Kluyveromyces lactis: one gene and its partners. The main gene of each other region encodes a partner of the protein of the gene in region 5 in a complex. Links are inferred from orthologs where the notes say so. Each region holds a gene or a part of one and is shown on either strand. Other genes may lie near its edges. The genes, in order: MRPL11, MRPL9, MRPL13, MRPL32, MRPL4, MRPL44 and RTC6.

Region 1 (3,353 bases), on a different chromosome or scaffold from region 5:
TGCTTCCCATTCTTCAGAAAGCCTTTCGAATAGAGGATGTTCTTCTAAGTGTTTTACCATCCATTCATGTAGATCTAGAACATCGGTGATTGTATAAATGATACCACCCTCTTTCAACACATATGCGTACTCACTTAGTAATGTATCAGTGACGATTCTTGCTTTATGCTTTCTTTGCTTGAAATGGGGATCTGGGAAACAGAAAAATATCTTGGACAACTGTCCCTTATTAAAAAAATTTGGCAAGAATTTCATTGCATTACCTCTTAATACATTAATGTTTTGATATCCGTTTTCCTTCGCGTGGTTGGTTCTCAATGCAATAATTCTATCTTCGACATAATTCGTTACTTGAACACGAATCTCCATACCCAAGATCATTTCATCGGGAAATTCTGGAGATAAATCGATCATAAGACCACCATAACCACATCCGATATCCGCAATGGTAACATCTTTCGTCATTTTCTTCTTTTCACTATCGTAGAAATGAGGGTACAATTTTGACCAGTCCATATGAGCTGGGCTTATTGGATACTCCAACTGATGATCACTGAATGGATTCGAATGTGCTCTTTGTCTGTAAAACTTTTTTTTAGGTAAAGATAGTTTATCCACCTTTTCAATCACAGATTCATCGATCTTGACATGTTTCAATTCTTTGCGATGATCTTGCTTCTCAGCACGATACGCCTGGCGTCTAGTACTAAAACTCATATTTTCTAACAAAGGCAGTTATAGGAAATTTGAGTCACTGTTAGAATTCAATTATGTTTATTCAACACACATTAACGGTTGGTGGAAGTAACTGCTTTGAAAAATTGTAACCTCATCGCCTAGGTTTTCTCGACTCAATTGATTCAGTGCATGTTCAAAAACTTTTTATTTCTTTACAATATACAAATGAGATCAAAAAAAGTCACGTGCAAAGAATATGTACAGGAGTTTATATTAATATGTGATGGGTTTATTTAAGTACATCGATACGTAAAAATGATTTATATTACATTTCATGATGGGGCAAAAGACTTTAATTTCCTTCGCTGTCATTCTCGTTTTTCTGCTTATCTGGGTTAATATTATCTTCGTGAGACTTTAGAGTTAGGTACAACATGTTTGAGCCAGCTTCTAAAGTTTGAACTAAACCAGCACCGCTCAAGACGTGCAATAGTCCCAGTAATTCTGATTGTAATTGACTTTTTGTTGGTAGATCCTTGAAAGAATCCAATTGTCTCAAATCGTACGCATCATTTTCAACTTTGGCGCCAATAACGAATAACTTGTCTTGGGCTTTTTCCAATAATTTCATGACTTTTTTTACCTTTGCCGGATCAGTCTCTGGGAACGAAATTGCTGCCGTAGGACCTTTGAACAAGGGCAGTAAAGGATGCTTCCAGTCTTGTTCTGAACGTTTCGCTGGAGCAGCTGGGTCATTTTTGCGTGAGTTTCTCAAGTATACTTGGAACAAATTGTTTCTCAAGATTGTTAACTTGCCTCCTACCTTATTAATTTCTTCTCTGAAGTGTGCATTCTCCCCTTTCATCAAATTGTTATGATGACAAAACAACATTACCGGACTGGTTTCCATCAGGTTTTTGTAAGAGTCGATTAGGAAAGTCTTACGAGAGTCCAAAGGCTTTACTGTTCTTCTAACTGCATCCGAGACAGTTCTCTCAATTTGCGTAGAGGCAAACCTCCTAACCAAAAACGGAGAAGCATATGAGACACGGGATACCACCACTGGGCTTCTTAACAAAAGTGACAACATGGCTATTTTGAGTGGTTGGTGATGACCTGAGCTGTGGATTCGAATCACTTTAAGCGAATTCATTCCCACCAATATATCTCTTCACTACAATATATCAATCTTCAGTGATTTTTCAGATTTTTCATTTTTTTTCAGATTTTTCAGTATCGTCGAATTTCAATACTTGGTACAATAAACCGACGAGAGGCATAGTTAGATTCAATGTAAGAAGGTATGAATGGTAATTGGAAGTGGTATGAGTGCCAAAATCGGTATCAACAATGGAGAAGGGAATGAAGACTTTCTCGTATATTTTCCATGGCAGCAAAAAATGTATATTGGTAATTTTTTATATATCTTCTTTATAGTATATATAATCCCGAATGAGGCAAAGGTCGATTCACGTGACTGTTCAAATTAAAATGATAGAGGAATTGGTGAGTTCTGCTCTTCTTTTCGAACTGCAAACTGTCATTGCTATCGTCAACATCATGCTTAAATAATGTAATCCGTTATAGACGTCTCCTGTCCAAGCTAGGAGGGATGTCGAAAGATTAGATTTCTTCCTTACAAAAGGTAGTCCGGGATTTATAGGGTCGTAGTGAAATTGTGAAGAGATGCAACTCTACTTCGTCATTGAAAAAATAAATGCAGTCATGTAACTGACGAGAATAATGCACAATTAGTGTAACTTCATCGTTCCATTGTGGAATTTGTCGCTATTCGGGATTTTCGTACATTTGAAACAGCATAGCTCTGTGCTGTAACGGTCTGGAAAATTATCTCATCTCATCGACAAGGGTTTGCATTAGTTGTCTCGCATCCATATCACGGATACGGCTGACATTGGATCCTGCCCAATGTGCTGCGAAAGAATTTGCGGTACCATCATGATCTGGAATAGACACGGCATTTAACTGCTTCCCCACATCGTATGTAAATGGATACCCTGGATGTATCACTCTAGTTGGAATATCCACCTCAGTGTGCCAACTATTCAACAAAGCTCGCGCCGGACGACCTGATATGCTGCTTGTGATTTGAGTTATGTCATTTCTTGTTTTGTCAAATAATAATTTCCTGTAATTTTCTGACGCAGCCGATTCTTTGCATTGGACAAATGCGGTTCCTAATTGAGCACCACTGGCACCTACTTCCATCATTCCTTTAATATCTTGACCAGACATTATTCCTCCTGCTGCTACTATAGGAATAGTTGTGCCCAACTTTGCTTTTAGTAATTTCACCAAATCTCTCGTGGATATTGCCGGATCTAATGATGCGTTAAACATTCCCCGATGACCACCCGCTTCGACACCTTGAGCGATTAGGATATCTATCCCGTGCCCAATAGCCAATTCAGCCTCACTTAATTGAGTCACACTTGCCATCGTGACAACTCCCGCTTGCTTCAATGATTTTAAAGTGCTCGCAGATGGCACTCCGAAATGGAAACTAACCACTTTCGGTTTCAATTCTAACACCACTGCAAGCATTTCTGGATCTTCCAAGAAACTGTTATAGATCTTGGTTAATTCCTTTTCAGGTTTAGTATGGAACCGAGCAAATATTGGCTTCAAATATTCGATCCAATTGCGTGCCACCT
Region 2 (3,343 bases), on a different chromosome or scaffold from region 5:
CAAGCTTACTTGGCTAACTATCTAGCAACCATGTTAAGCAATGCATTCCCTCATTTGAGTGGTGAACAGGTTATGAACTTCATTCAAGCGCTACTCAAACAATATCATGATCCAAAGCATTTCACTGGTACTATTAGAGATTTCTTGGTCCAGATCAAGGAGTTCGGTGGAGATCCAACCGATTATTTGTTCGCAGAGGACAAAGAACAAGCTCTCGCGGAACAACATAAACTTGAAAGAGAAAGAGCTTCCAAGATCGGTGGGTTATTGAAACCATCGGAATTGGATGATGATGAGTAAAGATAACACCTTACAGAAATGTACAGCATGGTCAAGAAACGAAAAAGTTTCTGCGGATCCAATGAAAGCTGAAACTAACACTTGTCAAGCAAGGCAAATATATACATAGCAGGCCGTATATCTTCCCACATAGAGAAAAAAATTGTAATCAATTCTCTCCGACATATACCCAGGATCCAGTATCAACGTATGAAAGCCATTAAATATCTGGTTGAAAAGGACACTCAACGTTGCAGCAGTTACTATTTTATAATTGGTGTATATACAGGTATAGATTGTTAATAATAACCGTAGAAAGGCATGCTTTCCAAATGATTTCGGGACGGTGTCTAAACGACTGAAAAGATTCAATTTCTTAATCACAGTTTTTTATACTGGGGTTGGCTTTTTGATAGCATCTTGGATCTTAACGAATGCACCATTTGGACCTGCGACAGAGCCCTTCACCAAGACAGTACCTGTTTCGTCGTTGACGTCCAGCACTTGCACGTTTTGAATTGTTACAGTGTCGACACCCATATGACCAGGCATCTTTTTCCCAGGCAACACACGACCAGGTGTTTGATTTTGACCGTAAGAACCACCAGATCTGTGAGATACGGAAACACCGTGGGATGCCTTCAAACCTTTGAATCCATAACGTTTCATTACACCTTGGAAACCCTTACCTTTGCTGATTGATCTTAAATCAACGTATTGGCCAGGCTTGAACCACGAAGGTTTGATTAAAGAACCCACTGGTAGTAGTCCAGATTCGTCCTTGACTCTAAACTCGGTAACTTTTTCCTTTGGATTCACAACATGTGCAGCGAAATGTCCCAACATTTGTCTGGTAACATTCTCCGGCGACTTGTTACCATAACCAATTTGGCAAGCCCAGTAATTGTTTTCAGCTGGAGTTCTGTGTAGTATAACTTCGTTATTGTCCAACTGAAGTACAGTAGCTGCTATACGTTTACCAGTCTCTTTCTCGAAATACGGCATCATCCCTACTTTTTTACTCAAAGCACCACAACGTAGAGGTAATCTTCTTCTCTTTAGCGCATTTTCTGGAGAATGTTTAATATCTACAGGATCTAGATGAATGCTGCTTGCCACGGATGGTGCGACTAACTTGGCACCGTTCGATACTCCACTTTGTGAGAAAAGTCTTGTCCAAATCTTCGACGAAGGACTGCCAATAAATGCCATTATTCCCCAATTTTCAAAGACTGGTCGATTGATAACAAATGTGTCAATCCAGATAACCTCTTGGCAATGCTGGAGAAACTGTAAAGGATTTAAAATGTAGTTTAAAGACTCTATTGAAACCTGTTTCCATCTCTGTATAATTGTTAAAGCTGTTTCGATATTGAAAATTTTTTGAATCGATAAAGTTACCTATAGATCACGTGATTAAAACGGCACGTAGTTCTCTCACTGATTTAACACAAATTAAGTGTGCCCTTGACGGTTATTGGAAGTGTATGTTTATGCTTCTGTATTTACATGTTATTTAATATTATAATAATTATAATCATCATTCTATCGTCATCATTTGATCTTCTTATCCTTGATCTTGATAGTTTCATTGTTAACGTAGATACCTTTACCCTTATATGGTTCTGGAGGATGGAATTTTCTCAAGTTGGCAGCGAAGAGTAGCACTTGTTGCTTGTTGACACCTTCCACGATCAACGACGTGGGTACCGGAGACTTAACTATGATTCCCTCTGGGATAGGTAGGCCTTGTCTTACCGACGCACCGACTTTGACGTTGACAAAGGTGTTATTTTCCTCCAATTGAGCTCTGTAACCGGTACCAACGAACTTCAGAACAGCCATATGGCTCTCATTCACGCCTGTGATATGATTATTTATATGAGATCTTACCGTCCCCCACATGGATCTTTGCGTCTTGTCGGTAGAATCCTTCACTGCAACTTCGATTTTTCCCGAAGATCCATCCTGCTTTATCTCCACGAAATCTGGGATTTCCATATCAATCTTCCCCAAAGGACCCGATACAGTTACGTTCTGAGATAACTTAAGAGATTTGTTACCCTTTCTGATGATCTTTGGCAGTTTCATTGATTCCACCACCAACTTGGTCTCCGGTGTCAAATACACCGGAGAAGAACCAATATGTGAGCGCAGAAGAGCCGACACAGAAAAGAGTCTTCTGGAAACAAATGTCATGGTAATTGTGTATATCCTGGAAATAGTCTAGCCCACTTTGCAGCCGCTATATGACTGGGTATATTAGATCAAATGCGTCTATATCAATCTGTTCTTCCAGCACTCATCTCTATGCGTCTTTCAACCAATTTTTCACTTGGAATCAAAATTTTAATAGTGAGATAGTATGGGAGGGTAACTTTAATTGCTTTGACGATTGTTAAATAAGATATACTTAGGCTGTTACTCTCGATTGGTGACCATCTAGGCCACTCCTGGGTCGAAATGGGATGTGGAGACTGCTCTTCGTCGAAACACAGGAGTAAATACCTTGTGCTTATATTATCCTGTGCATCACGTGACTTGTTGATCTTTGCCCTTTCTTTTTGAAAAATTTCAAGCTCATCGCCTACGCATCGTCATCTCATCTCAATTACTGAATGATATAGCAGGCTGAAGTGGTTTCAAGAGCGTTCAGCAAGTCATTTGGTGGTCTCATAGCCAATATAAGGATAGGATACTCCAAGCAGATACACTAGGTAATACAGTATGGTAAGAGCATTGAAACATCATGAGCAGAAGCTTCTCAAGAAGGTCGATTTCTACGAATGGAAACAGGACCAGAACCACAGAGATACGCAGGTGATGCGTACGTACCATATCCAGAACCGTGAGGATTATCATAAATATAACAGAATATGTGGTGATGTGCGTCGTTTGGCACATAAGCTATCGCTTTTACAACCTACAGATCCCTTCCGTATCAAGCACGAGCAGCTCTTGCTAGAGAAACTATATCATATGGGCATTCTTTCAACAAAATCCAAGATATCAGCACTAGAGAATAAAGTTACAGTCTCGGCTTTCTGTCGTCGTAGATTGCCTG
Region 3 (3,114 bases), on a different chromosome or scaffold from region 5:
GAGCTCTTCTGTAGGATCCAAAGGGTGCACATAATCCACTTTGGGTAGAGCGCCGCTTCTAGGACGTTTTCCTGGTGTATATCTTGGTACATAATTCTGTTTTGAATGCTTTTGTTCGGGTTCCTCACTGGGATCTTCTGATCTGCTTCTTTTCACAGCCATAGTATTTGGCGCTTTCCAGTTTGTTTATGCTTTTTTTTTTGCCTCCTCGCTTCCTTGGCTTCTTAAATGAACAAATTTCAGTATATATGCAGCAGTCAAGGCACTTACTCTAACCGTACCTAATTGGCTCCTTTGACAAACCAAAATCGTATACTGCGTATTGTTTTATATGTCTATTCTACAAAGTTTGTATATTTCAATGTTTTCAATAAAGAGAGTGAAAGTACCTTTACAAGATTGAGAAATGTTCAGACGTATATAGTGATATATCGCATTTCAACATTTGGTGAACCCATTTTGAGTGCGCTAATAGTGCAGAAACCTATTGCGTCACGATTCGATATTGGCGACCAATGGCTTGTTATATTCCACGGTAAGGTTTTTCACTAGGTTAGCGAAGTACTTTTTGTGAAATTCTTGAATCGCCTTCCTTGTGTCCTGTTTTATTTTCGAACTGGGAAGTACCGTTAAGGGTACGTCATGTAAAATTTCTCTTTGATCTTGCACATAGCTCGAACCTAAATCGTGTGAGGATGCTACGATACCGCTGTTGCTGATCATACCTATATCTATAAGCTTATCGTTCGTATTATTCACGATTTCGGTCAATTCAAGTTCTCTTGCAAGCACTCTTTCCTTCTGTCGTTGTTCCATTTCGTTATAATCTAATTGGGCTTGTGAGCCGTACCTGTCCTGTTCCTGCAATAACGGGTCATTTTCGTCGCTATCTTGACGAAAGCAGCAACTTAGCACATTTCCCATAATATTTTAAATGTTTTAGGCAGATTTTCGGTAGCTACTGATGCTAGAATTCGTTAGTAAACGTAAACTATCTCATTGCCTTGGTGGCTTTAAGGTAAAGGAACTACACTTACTATAGATGTTGATAAAAAGCACTGGGAAGCATAAATTTCATATTCTAGTATGTGGGTTGTGGGTGTTTTGAATAGGGTAACCCCGTCTTCTTTATCTATCGGGCTACATAGATAAGCAGCTTTTAGTTACTGAATACAGTGAACATCATGCAAACCAGGAAGTACGCACTTAACTCGACCCGTTGTTAAAGACCACTATGATGCAACTATCTATCGCTTCAGATCCTGTTTCTTTCTCTCTTTAGAACCTTCCCATATGGACTACATTCTTTCTATGCCCAATTGAAAAATTGAAAAATTTCATCTAAAAACTATAAACTTACAATTTGATGAAGATATTGTATATTAGAACATTAATTGAACGGTCAAGTTCTTGATGAGCTTAAGCACAGAAGTATCTTCTAGTGTTGTCTGATTTGGCGGTTGATATCAGTTCATTAAAGCGTGGTACTGTGCATATTTTTCAATCGAAAACAAAAAAGAATAATGATGCTAGCGTCTAGGTACGTGCCAGTAGTGCGTTCATCAAGACAATTCACTTCAAGTGCAGTGCGCTCTGATTTCTTGTCATGGTTCAGAAGAAATAAAAACAAAGATGCTGGTGTCGTTTCAACACAGCCAGAATTGCAAAGAGATACAAAAGAAGTTATAAATGAGATCGAGTCCGGGAAAACAACTGTAGTGAAGAGCTCAACGGTCACAAGATTAGAGTTAACAGATGATGATTTTGTTGGTATCGATTCATCTAGAAGAGAAGAACTTATTCGTTTACAAAAGTTGGATGTCGTCCCATTCAACGAGTGGTTATCTCAGGATAAATTAAGTACCGAACAACAGTTGGAACAGGTTGTTTTGGAAAGTTATCAGGAAACTTTCGGTGATGTCCCAACGGAAGAACAACTGGGGAAACCTTTCGAAAATTTGGTAAACAAGTTCAAATTCAGTAAACTGCTACAATGCAAATCAGGACACATTATCCCAGACTACGAACTTACAAGGTTACAAACTCCATTGGAATTTAAATCGTGGTTTGAGATTAAAGTACTAAGTGGTCAACTAGGGAAATTTAAGGAATCGGAACCAAACGCCATTGATTTATCGAATATCAAATTCCCACCAAACGTGTACGTGGTTCCCGATGTCAAACCATCTGTGAAAAAACAGAAGGTGAAGAAAATCTTGGAAGAGGTCGCCGCATTGGAAGCTCAATATGAAAGAGACGCTATTGAGAAAGCTAAAAGGGATTAAACTCCGAAAACAATCTCTCTTCTGGGTTGTTTATATTTACTATCGCATATCTTTTTTTCCAATGCATTTGAACTAGGCCAGTCGGCCGCTTTTCAGATCTTTGATTTGACTTTTCCTTCAATCTAAATCCTGTACATAATATAAATACTTATACATAATGTTACTATAACCATTAGTATGAGAGATCAATCACCAAAAAAAAATTATTGTATGTGAATATATATATACTTTTATATAAGGTTTGAAAAGAGCGTGGCATTGATTGTATACCTAGTGTTTTCTCGATAACGAAAATATCACGGCAATTGACGCACCGAGAGCAACAATTACTGCTGGAAGAAGGGTTTCATTGGGAATTCCAGGAATTAATTGGTTAGATGGTTTGGGATGAGAAGGCACATTTTTTTTGAACCTATTTTGGATTAATCTATTCACAGCATCTTGTGGTACAGTCTCATATCTATAATGAACCAATAAATCAATCTTATCTAGATTCATGTTTTTATGCACAAGCACACAGTCAATCAAATCTTGATCATGAGTGATGCTAACAAGATCATTTTCATCGTCCACATATAAAATTTCCACATCATCTGAACCTCCTAGTTTTTCACCAATCAGTTCAACTAGTTTTGAAACCCCCTCTATTGGCCTTAGGGATACTCTGTGGGTCTTGTTATTTGTTAAAGTTTTGAATTTGAACGAATGTAAACAAGTTCTTATATCTTCTTGAGAAGTAATGTGACTACTTCCCATCAAAGAGCTAGTCTCGCCGTTTACAAAAGACACTGAATCATTCAAATGCATTCCATTGTCAAGCTGGAATTGA
Region 4 (3,149 bases), on a different chromosome or scaffold from region 5:
AATCGATCTGAGAACATTGATATGGTCTATATAAGGTGTCAGAGAACAGAATATTATGACACTGTATCAATGCTTCTTGGTCTACTTTCAAGATGGTCTTTCTCCACGAGCCCCTCCACCTTGAACATCCAAACGGCGAAATACGCTCTTGCTCTGGACTTTCCGATTCCAACTTCAAGTACTCCTTGGTATAAATCTTTCTCCATAGTTCCTCATCGTAGGTGTACGCGTAAAGGATCCTAGAACTACATCCGAGGTTCTGCAAGTCATTTGGATCATCGATATATGCGAGTATTTCGATTATAAGATCTTCTGGTAGCACTGACAGAGAGCCTAACAGCTTTTTCCTAAGCTTTCTAGTTTCCTGAGGATCTGCACCCTCTAATAAAGAATTCCCGCTAGGTTTTACCCCTAACGGATGCGTTGGGATGCTGGTAAATACAGGAATCCTGTAATTTGGCACCTTTTTCACTTTCTTGAACTGTCGTGTCGTTGTCATACTGTATGGAAAATTGTCAGCCTTATTGTCAATTTAAAGTGAAACAAAACAAAACAACCAATATCAGACCAAACTGTTAAACTGATGCCAGTTTTCAGGTCCTGCTTAATCCTGTATCGTGTATTCGCACCTCATCTCATCTCATCGCTACTTCAAATCTTTTCACTCATGATTTTTTTCTTTTCAATCTGATCTTTTCTCGACTGATTTTCACGCCTTTAGGCCTGGCATCAAGCCTGCTCTAGGAAAATTTTTGTATGTGATTTGATTCTATGTAGAGTTGATTGTGATGAGATAATGAATCTAACTATTACTACAGGAGGTGAATGCTGACACTGAAATAACCTGCTAAAATCTGGGACGTGTATTCGACATATATATACAAGGTGATGGGGGGATTGAACTTGATAAAAGGTTGTTTTTTTTTAGTCATTTCCGCCGATGTGTTATTTTGTACTGGATTCAATGAGAAGAGGGTTTAATGTGATCCTTCTTTCTTCTCAGATCTCTCCACTGGCAGAGTTTTCATACGTCTCTCCAAATAAGCATCCTTGTCCTTCAGTTTCTTTGTGTATTCAGTTTCTTTTCTACCAGGATACAAGATACGCTTGTCCAATTCAGACAACTCTTGTTCTTGAATAGGCTCCACTTGTTCAACGTTAGTGTGAGCCTTCCAGATGTGACGGATTTCACCCACACAATGCATACATAGCGTATGTGCCTTCTTGTAATGCCCACATGAAGGGCATTTGTTCAAATGGTTGATCATTTTCAGCTGTTTGTCTCCAGGCGCATATAACTTTTGTCTCTTCTTCTGATGCGACACTTTCTTCTTGGGCACAGCTAGAAGGATCCCGTTATTCGTAAAGTAATCCGCTTGAGGTGAAGACTTTTCACGTTGGTTTCTTTCAAGCAATTCCAGCAGTTTCTGTGGCAATGCAGTACCAGCTGCTGGAGTGCTCCAACGAGGCAATATTGATGTCGCTGTTTCCAGCAACACTCTGCTAAAAGATTCCGTTACAGCTCCAAAAGACATCCTCTAATTATTTTCGCTGCTGGTATGATACTATGATGAAGAGGAGAAAGGATAAGTTCAATCGATAGGGACAGATACTAGTTTCTCTAGGTCGCTCGTCTAACTCTGTTTGAACTTCGTCAATTCAAATTGGTATTGACGAATTGGATTATAAGAAAGAATTTTCAACATTACCCTGATTTGGTGATGATCTGTGTCCCTTTTTCGATTTCGATGAAAAAGACGAAAAATCACAAAAACTAAAAATGGAACTCGAAACGAAATAAGTGTGTCAACAAAATATAAGTAAGGAATCAGATCTTGTATTCTTTAGAATAAGTAAGATTGTGATTACTTTTTTTTGACGTTTCTGTGGTTAATTGCTACTCATTGTTTGAATTTTTGTTATTGCGGTTAATTGTTTTTATAACTTAGAGGTTTTTCATTATTTTAACTTCCAAACACTAAAACACGTAAAGCTTTGATCATTTGGATTTGACTTATATACATCTCTACTACGCGAAAGGAATTATTAAAGGTAAAATACACGCATAAACAAAAACAATGGCATCTAGTACTGCTGCAGCTGGTATGACTTCTTCTTCTGATGGGTTGGCTTTGGTAAATCCATCTTCTTATGTTGGGTTTGATTCGATTACTTCACAGATTGAACATCGTTTGTTGAAGAGAGGATTTCAATTCAACGTTATGGTCGTTGGACATTCTGGTCTGGGTAAGAGTACTTTGATCAACACTTTGTTTGCATCTCACTTGGTTGATTCTTCTACTGGTAAGGACATCACTCAGGAACCAATTAGTAAGACCACCGAGATCAAGGTTTCAACACATTCTTTATTGGAAGACCGTGTACGTTTGAACGTGAACGTGATTGACACTCCAGGTTTTGGTGACCAGATAAATAACGACAAAGTTTGGGAACCTATTGTCAAGTACATCAAGGAGCAACACTCTCAATATTTACGTAAAGAGTTGACTGCTCAACGTGAAAGACACATTGTAGACACTCGAGTACATGCAGTGTTATATTTCATCCAACCTAACGGTAAGGGTCTAACAGAACTTGACGTTGCTGCTTTGAAGAGATTGACAGAAATCGCTAATGTTATCCCGGTGATCGCTAAAGCTGATACTTTGACGTTGAATGAGAGAGCTAACTTCAGAAACATCTTACAAGAAGAATTTAAAAAGTACAATTTCAGAATCTATCCATATGATTTAGACGATCTGACCGATGAAGAAGTGGAACTGAATAAAAGTATAAGATCTATTATTCCATTTGCCGTTGTAGGATCTGAAAAGGAGATTACAGTGAACGGTGAACTAGTAAGAGGAAGAAAAACTCGTTGGGGTGCCATCAATGTCGAAGACATCAACCAATGTGAGTTCGTATATTTAAGAGAATTTTTGATCAGGACACACTTGCAAGATTTGATTGAGACTACAGCTTTGATCCACTACGAAAGTTTCAGATCCAAGCAATTGATTGCTTTGAAGGAGAACGCCAACGCTAGAACTTCTGCACACATGTCTCAGACATCAACAACAATGCTGCGTTAATAGGTGGAAAAAAGAGCCGGGAAGACTTCTAGAAGAAACGGCGTCTTTATTTCAAAA
Region 5 (3,497 bases):
CGTAGAAAGAGCATCTGAAGAAAAACTAAGAGATCTTGGCTTTGGTTATAGGGCCAAATATATCATTGGAACTGCTCAACTGATGTCTATGGAAAAAGGCGATATGTCTGATTCAGAGTATATGCTCAGTTGGCGCATTAAGGGTAAAATGGGGTATCAAGATGTCAAAGAGAAGTTGATGGCGTATCCAGGTGTGGGTCCGAAAGTAGCTGATTGTGTGCTTCTCATGGGAGGGTTGGGATTTGACGAGGTAGTTCCTGTCGATGTACACATCGCAAGGATTGCATCGAGGGACTACAAATTAAACAACACTAAGCAGGAAATCAGTGAACTGCAGGCTGAATACAAAAAGTTACCGATTACACGTAAGAAGGTGAACTATGAACTTGATATGTACAGAAGGAAGCTCCAGGATCTATGGGGCCCATACGCGGGCTGGGCACAATGTGTCCTTTTCGCACAAGAAATTGGGAAAACAGTTGGAGCAAGTACAAGTGATAAATTAGTGAAAAGACGCAAACTGGACTATGATGCATCTGGAGAAGAAGAAGACTTTAAAGTTGTAGTCAAAGACGAGGCAGAGATCAGTACGGAAGATTCTTTGTCCACGGTTAAAATTGAAGATACTATGTCGATAGAGTATAGCATTACTGGGAGGCCGCTACGGAGAGCGGTAAAAAAGGCTAAAAAGGTCTATTGAATTAATTGACTGCAAATAAAACTCTCTTTAAATACAATTCTTATTCGTCAAATTAAAGTGTTGTCGAAGGAAATTTTTTGTTTTATATTCCGTTATTTAAGTTGGTGTATACATATGTACAGGAAGGCTGGGTTCATCCAAATGGACGGTTACACTTATCTCTTTATACAATCACTTCGATGGCATTAATATCATAGTGTATTAGCGTTGTTTTTTGCATCTTCTTCTTGCAGCTGTATTTCCGCTTCTGTTACCTTTGCCATTTGAGCCTCAGCTAATTTATTAACATATTCTTGAACAGTTTCCAATTCATCGTATCTAGACACAGAGGAGCCATTTTCTCTCAACTCCCTTACCGCTTGACATGCTTCTGCGATGGCAGATTCTGTGTTTTCTGATGTATACAGAAGGAAGGATTCACCTGCATCCACAATTGTATTGTTAGATTCTTCTAAAAAGTTCTTGATGTCCTCGTTTCTTAGTGCAAATTTCTTTAACTTCAATGTTGCAACCGCTTTCAATCCATCCACAAATGTTCTGTCCACTTTGTTCTCATCGATGTACTCAGAGATACCGTATATGGCATATTGAAAACGTTGCAATGATTCGAAAATCTCTTCATCTTCGTTAGCAGGAGCTTCTAAAAAGTCTTTTTCGAATGATTCGATAAATACTTGTTTTTCAACAGCAAATTTCTCATTCGCTATCTTGAATGCCCAGTCTCGTTCGCTAAGGACGTGTCTTATTCTCCACATTGTCGTTCTGATCTTTTCGGAGATATCTTGGTATGCTTCGGTTTGTGCTTCAAAGTTGAACTGCACCAAATGGTTTTCACGTGCTAATACGTTACGTTCTTTCAAACATGTGTACCACAAAGAATGTAGGTCAGTGAACGATTTTCTTCTCAACTCTGGGATGGTCCAAGGTCTCGAAAGCGTATCCAATTCCTCGGGCGTTCTTAAAAACTTCTTCTCGGAGAAAAATTGCCATAAAGGATGATCATCTGGACATGTCAAATTGGCAGCAGCCGGTGGAATAGGAGCTGTAATCTTTAAATCATTATCGTGATGGGTCCTCTGGGTAGGTAGTCTAACGTTCTCTCTCTTGGCTGGTTTGGGTTTAGGTTTGGTGAATCTCGTCCTGGCACATGCTCTAGAAGTAGTATGCAATCCCCTTCTTGCTGGGAACATTTTGAAAATATAATATCCCTGCTATAATAAACACGTCCTGCAGCTACTCAATCGAGGTAGAACACTTCAATATCACGACAGCTAGCTGATTCATCCATGTTTTAATTCCTATTCAGCTTTCCTCTGCTTAAATGTTATAAAAATTTTTTGATCGAACAGAGTTGATTCGGGGTCCGTCATTAGGTTGCCCGGCCTTTGTCATGTGATAGTCACGTGAATATCAGGTTGACTATTGACTCTCTTAGTGAAGCATAGTGCAATAAGATGATAAACTAGCATCGCATATCCTGGCCATCTTTCAACAGGTACAGTATCATTCAAAGATGGTTGGAAACGTGTACCTTCCCTGGTTTAACTGATTATTCTATAATTCAGAGCTTTCCATTGACATCGAAATTCAAAACTTCAACACTTTTTATCAATTAGTACGTTAACAATAATTTGGTGATTAAGTATGTTATGGAGGATGCTCTGGAGTGTGAATGGAACTAAGCCTTGGATTGTATATCGACTACTCTACTATACCTGGTACTCCATTTGATAAACTGACAAAGGAAACCATTCAACCTAACTGCTGTACCCTCTATCAATTGCATTATTGGTTATTGTAAGAATACGACTGCATCATAAATATAGAAGACATACACACTTTACGCCGCAAAGATGTCTGATACGCCTCTGGATCTATTAAAATTGAATTTAGACGAGCGAGTATATGTGAAATTACGTGATGCTCGTGAATTAGTGGGTACTCTTCAGGCTTTCGACTCACATTGTAATATTGTTCTTTCAGATTCAAAGGAAACCATTTATGAACTAGTAGAAGGAGATTTGAAAACGACCGAAAGGTTTTCGGAAATGATTTTCGTTAGAGGTGGTCTTGTGGCCCTTGTAACAACACCAGAAGATGAATGATTGTCCAGTATCCTTCTTCTTCTTTCAACATTTAATAAGGGAAATTCGAAGAAATAACTTCATGTCCTCATTATTGATTGAGTGCGATGTGAGCTATCCTCATTTTGCCCCCAATATACATCCATCGCTAACATTTGTATAGTATATATTTAGTTTATTCAATTTTTTTTTAACTTTCGGTTTACAGTTACTTAGAAACTATAACGTTAATTGCCATGGCTTTGATTTTATGTCCTGCATGTCCACCATCGACAAATGTGGGTAGCGTTTCCTGTTAATTCGTTTTATATACTGTTCCGTCTTTGTAACATGTTTTCTTTGTCGGCATAAGCAGAAGTTGTGGTACCCGCAATTGGCGGTAATTCGTTTTTCTCTTGCAGATGTTGTAAAAAGTCATGACCGTACGCGTAGCCTACTTGGTATATTTCTTCAAACTTACCAAAATCCAAAGTCGCATAGTTCTCAATAGGAGGCCTGATGTACACCACACCTGGTGTACTTTTAGCCCTTTCTAAGGCATTGACAGAAGCAACATATCCTAATCTCATTTGTATTTCCGCCATATTAGGAATGTTGGGGTGTTTCGAAAATGGATTCCATCTATTTAAAACAATCCAAAATCCGTTCAAAGAGTCTCCGTATGACATTGGAGTCCTATCATCGACTGATCCAACGTCTACTGCAAACACAAT
Region 6 (3,124 bases), on a different chromosome or scaffold from region 5:
TTAGGAATTTTCTATCATGGAGCATGCTATCCAATTCGTTGATCTCTTTTTCTCTGTACTCATCCAAGAACTTGTATCGTTGACGGATTTTTGCCAAGTCTTCTGACTTTCCCATGGCTTTATCAAACCTGACATCTTGATAGATGGATTTACTCTTATTATCTTCTAACCCAGGAATCTTTCTCATGGAGCGCACTTTCTTCTTTGACGATGATTCGGTTGGTGCGTGCTTTCTTTTACCTTTCTTCTTTTTACCATTCTGATTAGCCTCATCGTTTGATTCTTCATCGAAAAAGCCGCCATCACTATCAGAATCACTTTCTTCTCCGAAAGATTCTTCTGCAAACATTTTGATAGACTGTGACTTTTGTTGTGCTTCTTCTTCCTGTAATCCGCTCTGACGTCTCTGTCCATCATCAAGTTTCCTTTGTTTCTCAGTCAACTCTCTTGATTTTGGCTTATTCAAATGTTTCTTCTCACCATTCGCTTTGCTTTTGCTTTTTCTGCTGGTTTGTTCCTCATTGTCCATCATTTCATCAGCTTTCTTCAAAGATCCAAATGAGAGTGTCTTTAGCTCATCTTCGCTTTGTGAACCTTCTGCATCACTTGTATCGTTTATTCTTATGATTGATGCTATGTCATCTTCCTCATCTTCGTTTCCTGAATGAAGATCTGGCTTGATATTCTTGAAGTAAAATGACATTTGTATATTACTGGTAGTTTTTGTGGCCGTGGCTGCTTACAGGTTAGTTATCAGTCGCTTCTACATAGAAGTTCTTCTTGATTTTAAGTTTAGCTCATCGCTTCTGCATTGGCACCGTATAAAATTTTCAATATCTGGAAGAAACTTGAAATTCCTATTCAGGCGATGTAAATGAATAATGGACAGGAAGGGAGCTTCAAATAATAAGGTCTGTGATCATACCAACAGCGTTGACTCAATTTAATCCACTGAAGCATTGTAGTGTTTTATATCTTATACTACATTAAATTTCTTTTACTTATTGTTATATATACATGAATTTTGTGATGGGTATCTCGTCACAAGAAATCATTGAGATTCAATACTTTCCTTTAGGGCCAATTTTCTTGAATGACGATCAAAGTAGTTCCCTAGTTCCATGAAGTTCATACTGCTTGGATCAGCTTCCAATTCAGTTTTATCTTTGAAAGTAACTTTCACTGTAGGTTTCTTATTAGAGCCAGAAACCAAAACTTCGTTTTGCAATTGTAATCCACTTGTTCTTTGTGAAGGAGGAATAGCACTTAAGAACAACCTAGCTGTCTTGGCTGTAGATGAAGATAAATGAGACGATTGATGTTTTAATAGTAAAACAACCGTAAATCATATTATGTTAGTAATGGTGTTCGGTAGTTTTAAATGATGTCCAACTAATGATTTCTCTTTCTTTGAAGACATACCTTCCTTTCCTAATGGATTGAATTTCACAACTGCCTTAGTAAAATATTTCGTGATCATGTTGCTCTATAGTTCTCTTGACAACAGCTGACAAACTCCCAAGTATTACTCTGATGAGACGTCCTCATCCAAAAACATACTTCACAGCTGTATTCATCTCTAGCTTTTTGCCTAAAACTGTTTAAATGGTAATAGCGATCTCATCAGAGGCTATACTATTACCCGGATAGTTTTTGAATGTTTTTGGGCGATGTTTGACGAAATGAAAAATATTGAAAGAAACATCCAATTGCAAAATGAACAACTTCAATATTTGCAAATGAAGCAAGACTGCTTTTAGCACAATCGGTTTTTAGGATCCTTGGATTGTTATTTAAGGTCGATATAAGGTACTCGCCTTTAATTGTTTGCAGGTTGAACTAAGTGCGGGTTGTTTTTCATTCGTTTATTCAATTGTAACAGCCGTTGATACGGTGAATCTATTGGCAAGCTTTTTAAAAAGGAACTATTCATATTCGAATTGGACTTTCAGTTTGATTGTAACTATACTTTAACTTGATCTTATTGCCTGAAGGACCAGTATCTTTTTTATAGAAGCGAAATAAACTACAGAGCCATGTTTTTCTTCAAAGATTTGTCGTTGAATATAACGCTTCATCCATCATTCTTTGGACCTCAGATGAAGAGATATTTGATGACAAAGCTACTACAAGAGGTGGAAGGAACATGTACCGGTAAATTCGGATATATCCTATGTGTTTTAGACTGTGAAAATATCGAGATTGAACGTGGACGGATTTTGCCTACGGACGGGTCAGCAGAGTTTACTGTTAAATATAGAGCTGTGGTATGGAAACCTTTCAAGGGAGAAGTTCTTGATGGTATCGTATCTAGTTGTACAAACTTAGGTTTTGAAGTGGAAGTTGGACCTTTGTCTGTCTTCGTTTCCCCTTTTTTGATGCCAGAAGATTTGACTTTCAACAGTGGTTCCAATCCTCCATCATATCAATCATCAGAACAAATTATTACTAAAGGATCTAGAGTAAGATTAAAAATCGTCGGTGCAAGATCGGAAGTCAACTCTATTTACGCCATTGGCAGTATCAAGGAAGATTATTTGGGGGTGATATGATATTTCTTTCCTAGAACCTTTCACATTTTTCACCTAATCGCAACTATGACTATATATAGCTTTGGACATAAATTTCCAAATTCCGGTCATCATTGTTATCTGCTTCATTTGTGAGCATTTTGTATAATATAAAAGAACAAACTAATTTAACAAGCAGCATGGTCAATGTACTTTCTTTTTCTCAGCAATTAATAATAGCGTCACATTAATTTTTTGATTGTACCAAGCACAAACTGTTACAAAAATATCTGTTAAAAGCATATACATTGTTGAGAACTTTCACATGAATCAATTGACATATGACGATTTGTGTCAATGATTCTATCTTAAAGATATCACAAATAAAATAAAATAAAATAAAAATAATAACAAGAATCCCTCGTTGAATTGCATTTGATTCAAAGGCGCTATCTCAAAATTAAGAAAACACAATCCGATGGTTAGCTTCACCGATTCTTCAGTGGGTTTTTGGGACGAAAGAGTTTAGGATAGAATTATGAGTAAAAATTGAAAAGTTGGTTAATTCATGGTATCATTAGTTGTTGTGTGGAGCTCTTGCAGGCTGGAAAAAA
Region 7 (2,694 bases), on a different chromosome or scaffold from region 5:
TTGACAGGGGCCTCAAATTGGAAACAAAACAATTACAAAACTGGTCCGAAAAAATCCTGGTACACACAGCAGGTATCAAATCACTCGACGTGAAGCTTGACAAGTCTTCGGATTCATTCAAAGTATATTCTGGGGGTGATGACAATGCTGTAGCCATCACTAAATTTACGAACAATGACAACTACACGATGAAAGCCGAAATACTAGATCACGATTCGTATGCTGCTTCATCAACAGTAACATCAGTGAATCTGTTAGATAATGACACAAAATTATTGGCTACATCAGTGGACCAGGTCATAAGAATTAGGGACATTACGAATGACAAACTGAAAATAACGGAGAGCAAATATACCACAGTAGCAGATACCGGTTCCAGTGATATAGTTACGTTACCAAACGTCCAGAAAACACTTATATTAATAGGAGGATTAGGACTTTCCTGTTGGCGAGATGAATAATATCTAACCATCTAAACTTCAGAATTTTATATATTTAAAACCAGTTTATTAGTATAGAATGGAAATTATTTATAGAAAGAAGGCTGCATTTTTCCACATTCAAGAAAAGAACACATCCTCCATTATGACTTATCTATATACATGAAAGATTGGGACGAATGGGAGGGCGATTGTAATTCAACCTTGACGTTGTTTATGCTTCTTATTGGACTTACAGTAAACGTACACTCTGCCCTTACGTCTAACCATGTAACAATCGTTACAGAACTTCTTGATGGAAGTTCTTACCTTAAAACCTCTGGTCAAAGGAGGGTTCATAAGACCCATCATTGGCATAGATAGCATATTGATACTTTTCACAGCTGGCCTTGTCAGTCTTGTCAACGAGTTCAACATCGTACTTCCGAAAAGTGTGCTCATTATGTATGTATTTCCCTCTCTTTATATTATATCGGGCTCCAGAGTTATACCTGTGAAGAGTTTTCAGTTTTTGATATCACCCACGGTCTTGAAACGTACTAATGGAGTCCACAATCGTCAATAAGGCATCACACCGACTGAACATGCCCTCTATAGCTGATGATCTACCATGAAAAGGCCTTCGATAATTTTTCAAAATAGTTTCAATGGAGATTAAGATATTTACCCGGACTATAGCACGTGATGGTTATGACCTGAGATCTTGAACATCCTCATCTAGTGAACATCTTTGGGCAAATCTGAAGACCGTTTCGAATCACTAACAAATAAATAATTGATGAAGTACACCCATCCTTTCTAAGAGACTCTTCAAGGCAGTTGTTTTATCCTTTTTCTCGGTTCTCACTGTATGTGCAGCAGCGCTCTGAATCGAAAACATTGAACTTCGAAAACGTAAACAATCGAATTTTAGATCAATATATTGACACACAAATACCGAATCATCATAAACTTAAGGACTAATATTTAGGTTAAGTTTCCATTTATTATCATATTTCACCCTGTGTTGATAGTCTCGCTTCATATGACAGATCCAAAACGATTGTCTTTGCTTCCGAGAAGTATCCTTAAGCAAAAATTTAAGGATGATGATACAACTAACACCAGTCATAATTTGACTATGTCCCAGATACAGTTTCCTACTGAGGGAATTACCAAAGAAGATATACTGGACGGAAACAATACGACATCCCGGATCAGTGCTGCGATTTCGAAGGGAAATCGCCGTGTGTCCTTTGCACCAGATGTGACTTTGCACAAGTTCGAATTCATACCACAATCGATTCAAAATGTAAGGGAACCTCGAAGGAAATCCGCTTTAAAATTGGAAGTGGCAGTAGCTGAAGCCTCTATGGCCGATACCAAAAATGATAACGACAATTCTGGAGAAACAATGGAATTTACTAGTCCGATAGGTTCAATATTCCAAAAATTGGAGTCTCCAAGCGAACCGAAAAATGATGGGTACCAACCTGTGTTCGACAAAGAGGTTTCAATGGATATAACACAGTTATTTGCAAAACATAGCGCTAAACCAGACGATAATGTGGTACCGCAAGAAACCTCTACTGCTGCGGAAGAAGAAGAAGAGAATGGTAACGAAGACCAAGTTTTGGAGGAAACAATGGACCTTACAGAACCGCAGAAACGCCGCTTTAACGAAGAAGAGTCTATGGAAATAACTGACCAAATACGGATGGATGCAGAAAAACCTACGCTAGATGCAGATTCAGAATCTGCTTTCAAATTACCTAAGATACCAGCAATTACAGAGGAAACAATGGAATTTACAAACGTGCAGGCTCCTCTGGAGATGCGAGAGTCACAGATAGTTTCTTCAACTCAACTAGAACCAACTCAACTCCCGCAGTCAAAAAGAAGGAAATTATCTAACGGTGGTTATCAGTCTCCGGTCAAATTGCAGGTACCAGTGCAAGTGCAAGAGACCCCTGAACAAAAAGAGAATATAGATGCGGAGCTCACAGAGATGGAACGATTATCGCCAATTCCGTTGGCAACAAATTCTTTACCAAAACCAAAAAATGTCGGCTCTCCCATACTATCCAAAACAAGTAAACATGTTCTATCAGACACTCAAAGTCAATCGGGACCAATCTCCTTGCAGACATTTTTTGATGCTGCTAATATAAAATTCAACGTTGATACCCAAATAAACGAATTTCAAATCGATCTTAAGAGTACGAATAACATCGAACATGTCCCATCTAATATAATATACCAAGCGTTATATTGT

The links.
Region 1: MRPL4 (region 5) and MRPL11 share a complex: the UniProt entries of both Saccharomyces cerevisiae proteins name them as parts of the mitochondrial large ribosomal subunit. The link is inferred for Kluyveromyces lactis from reciprocal best matches to the Saccharomyces cerevisiae genes MRPL4 and MRPL11.
Region 2: MRPL4 (region 5) and MRPL9 share a complex: the UniProt entries of both Saccharomyces cerevisiae proteins name them as parts of the mitochondrial large ribosomal subunit. The link is inferred for Kluyveromyces lactis from reciprocal best matches to the Saccharomyces cerevisiae genes MRPL4 and MRPL9.
Region 3: MRPL4 (region 5) and MRPL13 share a complex: the UniProt entries of both Saccharomyces cerevisiae proteins name them as parts of the mitochondrial large ribosomal subunit. The link is inferred for Kluyveromyces lactis from reciprocal best matches to the Saccharomyces cerevisiae genes MRPL4 and MRPL13.
Region 4: MRPL4 (region 5) and MRPL32 share a complex: the UniProt entries of both Saccharomyces cerevisiae proteins name them as parts of the mitochondrial large ribosomal subunit. The link is inferred for Kluyveromyces lactis from reciprocal best matches to the Saccharomyces cerevisiae genes MRPL4 and MRPL32.
Region 6: MRPL4 (region 5) and MRPL44 share a complex: the UniProt entries of both Saccharomyces cerevisiae proteins name them as parts of the mitochondrial large ribosomal subunit. The link is inferred for Kluyveromyces lactis from reciprocal best matches to the Saccharomyces cerevisiae genes MRPL4 and MRPL44.
Region 7: MRPL4 (region 5) and RTC6 share a complex: the UniProt entries of both Saccharomyces cerevisiae proteins name them as parts of the mitochondrial large ribosomal subunit. The link is inferred for Kluyveromyces lactis from reciprocal best matches to the Saccharomyces cerevisiae genes MRPL4 and RTC6.

What each region holds. Positions count from the first base shown.
Region 1 is NC_006037.1:292,299-295,651, forward strand, and holds MRPL11 (mitochondrial 54S ribosomal protein uL10m), read right to left. Parts: upstream 1,769-3,353; coding exon 1,031-1,768; downstream 1-1,030. Other genes in the region: TRM8 (tRNA (guanine46-N7)-methyltransferase), read right to left, coding at 1-717; KLLA0_A03289g (putative nitronate monooxygenase), read right to left, coding at 2,527-3,353. UniProt on the Saccharomyces cerevisiae protein: Component of the mitochondrial ribosome (mitoribosome), a dedicated translation machinery responsible for the synthesis of mitochondrial genome-encoded proteins, including at least some of the essential transmembrane subunits of the mitochondrial respiratory chain.
Region 2 is NC_006041.1:1,425,688-1,429,030, reverse strand, and holds MRPL9 (mitochondrial 54S ribosomal protein uL3m), read right to left. Parts: upstream 1,492-3,343; coding exon 670-1,491; downstream 1-669. Other genes in the region: exportin CRM1, read left to right, coding at 1-300; MRPL6 (mitochondrial 54S ribosomal protein uL6m), read right to left, coding at 1,834-2,478; snoRNA-binding rRNA-processing protein IMP3, read left to right, coding at 3,007-3,343. UniProt on the Saccharomyces cerevisiae protein: Component of the mitochondrial ribosome (mitoribosome), a dedicated translation machinery responsible for the synthesis of mitochondrial genome-encoded proteins, including at least some of the essential transmembrane subunits of the mitochondrial respiratory chain.
Region 3 is NC_006037.1:257,675-260,788, reverse strand, and holds MRPL13 (mitochondrial 54S ribosomal protein mL50 MRPL13), read left to right. Parts: upstream 1-1,523; coding exon 1,524-2,285; downstream 2,286-3,114. Other genes in the region: RSC4 (Rsc4p), read right to left, coding at 1-162; MEH1 (Meh1p), read right to left, coding at 493-924; KLLA0_A02893g (uncharacterized protein), read right to left, coding at 2,556-3,114. UniProt on the Saccharomyces cerevisiae protein: Component of the mitochondrial ribosome (mitoribosome), a dedicated translation machinery responsible for the synthesis of mitochondrial genome-encoded proteins, including at least some of the essential transmembrane subunits of the mitochondrial respiratory chain.
Region 4 is NC_006042.1:1,182,153-1,185,301, forward strand, and holds MRPL32 (mitochondrial 54S ribosomal protein bL32m), read right to left. Parts: upstream 1,536-3,149; coding exon 978-1,535; downstream 1-977. Other genes in the region: KLLA0_F12804g (uncharacterized protein), read right to left, coding at 1-499; septin CDC10, read left to right, coding at 2,079-3,092. UniProt on the Saccharomyces cerevisiae protein: Component of the mitochondrial ribosome (mitoribosome), a dedicated translation machinery responsible for the synthesis of mitochondrial genome-encoded proteins, including at least some of the essential transmembrane subunits of the mitochondrial respiratory chain.
Region 5 is NC_006038.1:467,376-470,872, forward strand, and holds MRPL4 (mitochondrial 54S ribosomal protein uL29m), read right to left. Parts: upstream 1,891-3,497; coding exon 892-1,890; downstream 1-891. Other genes in the region: 8-oxoguanine glycosylase OGG1, read left to right, coding at 1-700; U4/U6-U5 snRNP complex subunit LSM3, read left to right, coding at 2,554-2,805; NTE1 (lysophospholipase), read right to left, coding at 3,090-3,497. UniProt on the Saccharomyces cerevisiae protein: Component of the mitochondrial ribosome (mitoribosome), a dedicated translation machinery responsible for the synthesis of mitochondrial genome-encoded proteins, including at least some of the essential transmembrane subunits of the mitochondrial respiratory chain.
Region 6 is NC_006039.1:594,608-597,731, reverse strand, and holds MRPL44 (mitochondrial 54S ribosomal protein mL53), read right to left. Parts: upstream 1,481-3,124; coding exon 1,423-1,480; intron 1,291-1,422; coding exon 1,052-1,290; downstream 1-1,051. Other genes in the region: rRNA-processing protein RRP36, read right to left, coding at 1-703; DNA-directed RNA polymerase II subunit RPB7, read left to right, coding at 2,037-2,552. UniProt on the Saccharomyces cerevisiae protein: Component of the mitochondrial ribosome (mitoribosome), a dedicated translation machinery responsible for the synthesis of mitochondrial genome-encoded proteins, including at least some of the essential transmembrane subunits of the mitochondrial respiratory chain.
Region 7 is NC_006041.1:1,683,287-1,685,980, forward strand, and holds RTC6 (mitochondrial 54S ribosomal protein bL36m), read right to left. Parts: upstream 882-2,694; coding exon 639-881; downstream 1-638. Other genes in the region: tRNA (34-2'-O)-methyltransferase regulator RTT10, read left to right, coding at 1-461; kinetochore-microtubule binding complex subunit SPC105, read left to right, coding at 1,465-2,694. UniProt on the Saccharomyces cerevisiae protein: Component of the mitochondrial ribosome (mitoribosome), a dedicated translation machinery responsible for the synthesis of mitochondrial genome-encoded proteins, including at least some of the essential transmembrane subunits of the mitochondrial respiratory chain.